Linked DNA regions of Rattus norvegicus. The protein of the gene in region 1 purifies or fractionates together with the protein of each later gene. This does not show direct contact. Links are inferred from orthologs where the notes say so. Each region holds a gene or a part of one and is shown in the gene's direction. Other genes may lie near its edges.

What was found. The genes of interacting proteins can lie anywhere in the genome.
Region 2: the proteins of Mta1 (region 1) and Hic1 purify together in Homo sapiens (affinity purification with western blotting; 3 studies listed by BioGRID). This does not show direct contact. The link is inferred for Rattus norvegicus from reciprocal best matches to the Homo sapiens genes MTA1 and HIC1.

What each region holds. Positions count from the first base shown.
Region 1 is NC_086024.1:138,030,906-138,034,415, forward strand, and holds part of Mta1 (metastasis-associated protein MTA1), read left to right. Parts: intron 1-201; coding exon 202-276; intron 277-596; coding exon 597-655; intron 656-921; coding exon 922-1,037; intron 1,038-1,335; coding exon 1,336-1,487; intron 1,488-1,592; coding exon 1,593-1,782; intron 1,783-1,914; coding exon 1,915-2,004; intron 2,005-3,510. UniProt on the Homo sapiens protein: Transcriptional coregulator which can act as both a transcriptional corepressor and coactivator. Acts as a component of the histone deacetylase NuRD complex which participates in the remodeling of chromatin.
Region 2 is NC_086028.1:60,514,636-60,518,760, reverse strand, and holds the start of Hic1 (hypermethylated in cancer 1 protein), read left to right. Parts: upstream 1-1,315; 5' UTR 1,316-1,457; intron 1,458-1,730; exon of another isoform or gene 1,731-1,837; intron 1,838-2,307; exon of another isoform or gene 2,308-2,528; coding exon of another isoform or gene 2,529-2,565; intron 2,566-2,913; coding exon of another isoform or gene 2,914-2,933; coding exon 2,934-4,125. UniProt on the Homo sapiens protein: Transcriptional repressor. Recognizes and binds to the consensus sequence '5-[CG]NG[CG]GGGCA[CA]CC-3'. May act as a tumor suppressor. Involved in development of head, face, limbs and ventral body wall.

The sequences.
Region 1 (3,510 bases):
TCTCCTTCAGGCATAATGGTAATTGTTTTAGCTTGGGGTTTCTGGGTAAGGGGAAGGCCAGCCACACACCCGCTGTGGGCTTGCCGTGTTGAACACTGGGGGACTTGAAGTGATACCCGCCCTGCCGCTGCCGTGCTCCTCCCTTGCCTGCTTGAGCTTGGCCCTGTTCCCGCCACCCATCAGACTGCCTTGTCACCGCAGCTCCCATGGAAGTCGCTCACCAGCATCATTGAGTATTACTACATGTGGAAGACCACCGACAGATACGTCCAGCAGGTGTGCCATCCCACTCTCCCGATCCCCATGTAGCCACATTATGTTTGTTCATTCTTTCCCAGTGACCTCCCCTTAAGCCCTAGAGAAAAGAGGAAGGACCTAGGGTCACTAGAGGACTCACAGACTGGGAGGAAGGGACATTCCTGACCCCTAGCCAGCCTGGTAGCCCCACTCTCTGGCCCCAGGCTGGCCAGGGAAGGTCATGCAAAATTTTCCCCAAGGATGCCAGTGATGGCGAAACAATAGCCTCTCCCTCCCTGTGTTCTCCCAGCTTCCCTGGCCAGCTTGGTGACCTCCCTAACCCTCTGTTTTGTTTAAAGAAACGTTTGAAAGCAGCTGAAGCAGAGAGCAAGTTAAAGCAGGTTTATATTCCCAACTAGTAAGTCCTACCTTTATATTCCTGGGGCCAGTGGAGGGTGGGAGGTGGGTGTGGGACACAGGCCAGGCGGCCTCCTGAGTGACCCTTTCATGAGCTTGCTCCACTGGGGAGGAGGGAGCAGGATTTAAACTTTTTTGGCCCAGGAGTCAAGCTGGGTTTAGTGCCGCATATTTTGGGATATGGCAGCCAGACTACAGTGGACCAGGGATATCTGTGGGGATACAGACACCCCAGGGCACCTGTGACTGATCCTTCTCCTCCATCAGTAACAAGCCAAACCCAAACCAGATCAGCGTCAACAGTGTCAAGGCCAGTGTAGTGAATGGCACAGGGACACCAGGCCAGAGCCCCGGGGCCGGTCGGGCCTGCGAGAGCTGTTACAGTAAGTGCTGTACCTGGCTGGCCCCCATCCTGGGCAGCAGGGCCACGGGAATGCTACTGCGTGGCTGTGGCGCTCAAGGGGCCCCTGAAGCCCCCGTGCCCAAACCCGGAATGACTCACCGTAATGGGGCTGCAGTGGTGGTGGGGTAGTTTGGAAGAGTTCCTCAGGAGTATAAGGTGGACCTACTATGGTCCTGAGCCAGGGGTGGGATGGCTGTGGTGGCGGTGGGGACACTGGGATGCTCTGCACCGTTGGTTCTGCTTAAGAATCCGTCTATTTCCAACTTTGTTGTCCGTAGCCACACAGTCTTACCAGTGGTATTCTTGGGGTCCCCCTAACATGCAGTGTCGCCTCTGCGCATCTTGTTGGACATATTGGAAGAAATATGGTGGCTTGAAAATGCCAACCCGGTTAGATGGAGAGAGGCCGGGACCAAACCGCAATAACATGGTAAGTGGGACACACCATACCTATCTGTCACCTGCTGCATGTCAACCTCAGGTCCTTGGCTTCCAGTCACAGTGCTATATTGGGGCGGTGTGCCCCATTCCACAGAGTCCCCATGGCATCCCAGCTCGGAGCAGTGGGAGCCCCAAGTTTGCCATGAAGACAAGGCAGGCCTTCTACCTGCATACTACCAAGTTGACACGCATTGCCCGGCGCTTGTGCCGTGAGATCCTACGCCCATGGCATGCCGCACGCCACCCCTACATGCCCATCAACAGTGCAGCAATCAAGGCTGAATGTGAGTCTTCTCCTGTTCTCTCTCTTGGGGCTAGCAGGAACCAGACTCAGGCAGGGTATCCAGCTTGGGGTACAGGTAGCCTGGCTCTTGGGGAACATAGGTCTTCATCGTCAGTCCCTTGTCCTCACGCAGGCACAGCACGGCTGCCCGAAGCTTCCCAGAGCCCACTGGTGCTGAAGCAGGTAGTACGGAAGCCCCTGGAGGCTGTGCTCCGGTATCTTGGTAAGCAGGATGGGTGGGACATAGGTTTCTAACTCTCATCCTAGCACCCCATCTAGGACACATGAAGTGATCACTAGGATACACTGTGCCAGGCTCAGGAGTGCCTGTGATCACTAGGATACACTGTGCCAGGCTCAGGAATGCCCGTGATCACTAGGATACACCATGTCAGGCTCAGGAATGCCCGTGATCACTAGGATACACCGTGCCAGGCTCAGGAGTGCCCGTGATCACTAGGATACACCGTGCCAGGCTCAGGAGTGCCCGTGATCACTAGGATACACCGTGCCAGGCTCAGGAATGCCCGTGATCACTAGGATACACTGTGCCAGGCTCAGGAATGCCCGTGATCACCTAGGATACACTGTGCCAGGCTCAGGAATGCCCGTGATCACCTAGGATACACTGTGCCAGGCTCAGGAATGCCCGTGATCACCAGGATACACCGTGCCAGGCTCAGGAATGCCCGTGATCACTAGGATACACTGTGCCAGGCTCAGGAATGCCCATGATCACCTAGGATACACTGTGCCAGGCTCAGGAATGCCCGTGATCACCAGGATACACCGTGCCAGGCTCAGGAATGCCCGTGATCACTAGGATACACCGTGCCAGGCTCAGGAATGCCCGTGATCACTAGGATACACTGTGCCAGGCTCAGGAATGCCCGTGATCACTAGGATACACTGTGCCAGACTTAGGAGTGCCCGTGATCACTAGGATACACCGTGCCAGGCTCAGGAATGCCCGTGATCACCAGGATACACTGTGCCAGGCTCAGGAATGCCCGTGATCACCAGGATACACCGTGCCAGGCTCAGGAATGCCCACGGAGAGCTGTGCTGTTTCCTTCTTCCTCCAGGCCCTGAGTTCCAGACACTCTGATTTTAACTTTCCTGGCATGCCCAGCAGCCCTGTGTCCTGGCTAAAGTTTTTGTTTGAGACAGGGTCTCTCACGTGGCCCTAGCTATCCTGGAACTATGTAAATCAGGCTGGCCTCAAACTGGAGATCCTCCCACCTCTTCTTCCAAAGTGTTGTGACTAGAGGCATGTGCTACCACTGATTTCTGACTAGGGTGTACACTAGGTATAACCTACCAACAAGTCCCTAGGGCAGGGTGGACACCTGCTGCTGCAAACAGGCCTCTCCCCAACATAGCACAGCATTGGAGGCTGCTGTGAGGCCTTGATGGGCAAGGTGCTTCTCTGGCTAGCAGCCGTGCAGGGATTTCTCCTTGCTTGTGTTTGTTTGGGGACTATTAATCTCTGGGCAGTGGCCATTTAGGAATGGCACGTCATGAGGTTGAGCCAGATGCGTGGGGTCACTTGTGTGCAGGGTTTGAGTGGACTTGAGTCGGTCCTCCACCATGGAGTCGACAGCTCCTCTAGAAAGGACATTCCAGAACCATAAGCTAAGTGCGTTCATTGCAGACACAGTGTCTGGCTTTGCTCCCTGGGTCCTGAGCCCCAGAAGCAGCCTCACCCAGGAGGGTGCCAGGATCTGCC
Region 2 (4,125 bases), on another chromosome or scaffold:
TCCCCGGAACCTCATTGGTTACCATAGTAACTCTGCACCCCAGCCTCTCCGGCTTGGCCACGGAGGAAGGCACAGCCAATAAGAAGCTGTGGGCGGTTTGGGGGGACCCCCCCTGTGGTGTGGGCGGGGGTCAGGAGGTGCGGGGAAGAGGCGGAGCGTGGGCCACGGAGGCGCGGTGCCTGTAACGGTGCTTGTGCCTCCGCCCCGCTATGCAGGGACATTTCCGGTGAGCACCCAAGAGCTGGTGCACGGTCCCCTCCCTCCTAGAAGAGGCGTCGCCAACATGAATTGAGCCCTCCTTCATGTGGCGTATAGGATTTTTTTTTTTGAGGGGGGTCTCAAGCCGCCGGTTCTCGTGATATCTCTCGAATGGTGTATTGGAACAGTTTAGGATCCCTCAAAACTGTTTAGATGGGGGGTGGGGGAGTTGAGAGGCATGTCCCAAGGGGGCTTTGTCCAGCTACGTCCAGTGGAGGGTTCTAGGGTCCTTCTGGAGACCGGCAAGTTCGGGGAGGGCTCTTTGGTAGGTCCTCTTCCCTGTTTCACATACTAGCCTCTTCAGAAGCCCAAGACATTGGGACTCCGGGAGAGGGGCGGACTGCCTGTGTAAACATGCGCACCCTCGAGTGTCACTGCTGGGACAGTGTTTGAATGTGGACGGTTTATGATATGCATACTGATAACATGTGTCTGGGGGAGAGTTGGAATTTTTCTCCCCAGTGAGTTCAAGTGAATAATGGTGCTCAGAAATGCCTAATAAAAGCCACCCTCGTCCGGCTCCGAACTTATTTACCTTCAACTCACGTAAGATTTCTAAAATCGCCCTCTCACAACATACTGTCAGTAGTGTTCCAACCCGATCCCCCTTTTAAAGATAGGGCCTCATGTAGTAGAGGCTGACCTTGAACTCCTGGTCCTCTTGCTTCCAACTCCCGAGTGAATGCTAAGATGATTACAAGAGTGCGCCACCAGCCCTGGCTTGAGTTCCCCATTTGAAGACAGAACCTTTTCCGAATTGGTGCAATATTACTTTTAAATATGTACTCGGAAGCACTCAGCACAAAACCCCAAGGTTTACGGGACTCCCAGGTCCGATCGATATCTGGGTCTCCAGGTGGGCACATCTGGAAGCGCGCGAACCTTCAAGATCTCCAGCTCAGCTCCGCATCTGCAAGCCTCCAGCCCAGGTGTGCGCCAGAGGTCGCAGCCCAGCCGTACACAGCCCCGCGCGGCCGCGAGGTGGCGCCATGGCCGCAGCAGCGTCTGCCGGTTCGGGCCGCTCCAGATAAGAGTGTGCGAAAAGCGCGGAGGGGCTGAGACGCGATCAGGACGCGGGGAGGACGGACCGGCAAGACAGACCGACCGGGGGCCCGGCGGGCGGAGGGCAGCGCACTGCAGCCACGTCCCCCCCTGGATCCGCCGGCAGCCGGGCCCGGGGCTTCCGACATGCCCCCCAGGTGGGTCCTGGAGTTGGCGACAGGGAAGGGCCAGGGACCCGGGACAGTCCGGTCCTCGCGCGCCGGCCGCCTCAGGAGCATCCTCAGGCGTGGGCGCCCCAGTCGCGGCTGGCGCTTGGGGCTCTAAGTGTCTTCCCTAGAGGACTCGGGATGGCCCGACTGCTGCTCGGCGCCGGGTTCACGGCGGGGTCAGCGGCCCGGGGCCGGCTCTGCCCGCACATGGGCTGGGGAGGAGAGGGGAAGGCAAGGGGAGCCGGCGGGCGGGGCTGGCAGGGGCGCTGCCCTGGCACAGCTCGGCGCCTGGCAGCGGGGCGGGTGGGGCGCAGGCTAGGAGCTGCCACCGCCTCAGGGAGGGAAGCCGGGCTGGGCTGCCGCCGCAGGTAACGGGCCGGCGAGGCCCTGCGGGCCAGGCGGGGAACAGGGGCGGGCGTGCTCGCCGGAGGGCAGGGCGGCTTTAGGTTTGGTGTGGGTCCCCGCGGCCACCAGGCTGCTGAAATTGGGGGCCCAGAGGAGAAACTGGGGGCCGGGGAGAGGGGCTGGGGCCGGCGCGCTCCTCCCGCCCTTTCTGAAGTTGGGAAAGTTTTCCCCAAGTTTGGGGCGGCAGTGTTTCGGGGGAGACGGGGCGGAGGGGAGCTGGGGAAGAGATGTAGAGCCGAGGCCCGGGCTGGGTCCAGAACGCGGGTGGGGCGCAGGCCAGGGTCAGGGCCGCAGCCGGCTGTGCGCCGTGCCCGCCCGGGGCGCTGCCCCCTCCCTCCCCTGGGAGCTGCGTGGCTCCCCCCTCCCCCCCACCTGCTTCCTGCCTCAGCCTCCTGCCCCGATATAACGCCCTCCCCGCGCCGGGGCCCGGCCTTCGCGCTCTGCCCGCCACCGCAGCCACTGTCTCCGCTCCCCGTGCCGGGGCGGCGGGCCCAAACGAAGGCCTGACAGCCCCCGGCCAGGGCGGCGCCTGGATGGGCATCGTGCTCCTGTCTTCCTTATCACTTCCCCTAACCGGGGCAACTTCTCTCGAGGCGGGAGGCGCTTCTAAATCGGCTCCTTTTCTCCCCACTTGGGCAAACTTTTCGGCCCTGAATGACTTTTCCTGAAGCGGACATTTTACTTAAATCGGGTAATAGTCTCCGAAAGGGTCATTTCGCCCTAACAGATTTCTCCCTGGAAGTTCCCAGCACCCAGCTCCAGTGCCCAGGAGCATCTGGGTCTGGGACAAATAGGCTAACCTGGCCTCCTCTCCATCCACAGCCTTGATCTTCCTGCTCCTTCTGTCTAGGGCCAGCGGGCCTAGGCTGCCACTCCCGGAGGCCGCTGATCCTCCTCGGCTGCTGTTCAGGCCGAGGTGCTCCATGCCCCTGCTCAGCTGAGGGGAAGGGGAAGCGGAGGGGAACAGACTGGGTTGGGTTCAAGAGGCAGGGGCACTGTACTGCGTAGCTCTGACCCAGCTGGTGTGTGTCTCCCGCAGGAGAGTGTGCTGGGCAGACGATGCTGGACGCGATGGAGGCGCCTGGCCATTCGAGGCAGCTACTGCTGCAGCTCAACAACCAGCGCACCAAGGGCTTCTTGTGCGACGTGATCATCGTGGTGCAGAACGCCCTCTTCCGCGCTCACAAGAACGTGCTGGCAGCCAGCAGCGCCTACCTCAAGTCCCTGGTGGTGCATGACAACCTGCTAAACCTGGACCATGACATGGTGAGCCCGGCCGTGTTCCGCCTGGTGCTGGACTTCATCTACACCGGCCGCCTTACTGACAGTGTTGAGGCCGCAGCAGCGGCGGCGGTGGCCCCGGGCGCCGAGCCGAGCCTGGGCGCTGTGCTGGCTGCTGCCAGTTACCTGCAGATCCCTGACCTCGTGGCTCTGTGCAAGAAGCGCCTCAAACGGCATGGCAAGTACTGCCACCTGCGGGGAGGAGGCAGCGGCGGCGGCGGCTACGCGCCTTACGGGCGGCCCGGCAGGGGCTTGAGGGCTGCCACGCCCGTCATCCAGGCTTGCTACTCGTCCCCGGCCGGGCCGCCGCCGCCGCCTGCCGCCGAGCCGCCGTCGGGCCCCGAGGCAGCGGTCAACACCCACTGCGCCGAGCTCTATGCTTCGGGCCCGGGCCCAGCAGCCTCACTCTGCGCCCCGGAGCGTCGCTGCTCCCCGCTTTGCGGCCTGGATCTGTCCAAGAAGAGCCCGCCAGGTTCCTCGGTCCCCGAGCGACCGCTTAGTGAGCGCGAACTGCCTCCACGTCCGGACAGCCCTCCGGGTGCGGGGCCTGCAGTCTACAAGGAGCCACCGCTCACCCTGCCGCCGCTGCCGCCTTTGCCCTTCCAAAAGCTGGAGGAGGCCGTACCGACTCCAGACCCGTTTCGAGGAAGCGGTGGCAGTCCGGGACCCGAGCCCCCCGGCCGCCCCGACGGCTCCAGCCTCCTCTACCGCTGGATGAAGCACGAGCCAGGCCTGGGTAGTTATGGCGACGAACTGGTCCGGGATCGAGGCTCCCCGGGCGAGCGCCTCGAGGAGCGCGGTGGGGATCCTGCCGCCTCACCCGGGGGTCCCCCGCTCGGCCTGGTACCCCCGCCACGCTATCCCGGGAGCCTGGACGGGCCAGGCACAGGAGCCGACGGCGACGACTACAAGAGCAGCAGCGAGGAGACTGGTAGCAGCGAGGACCCCAGCCCACCCGGAGGCCACCTGG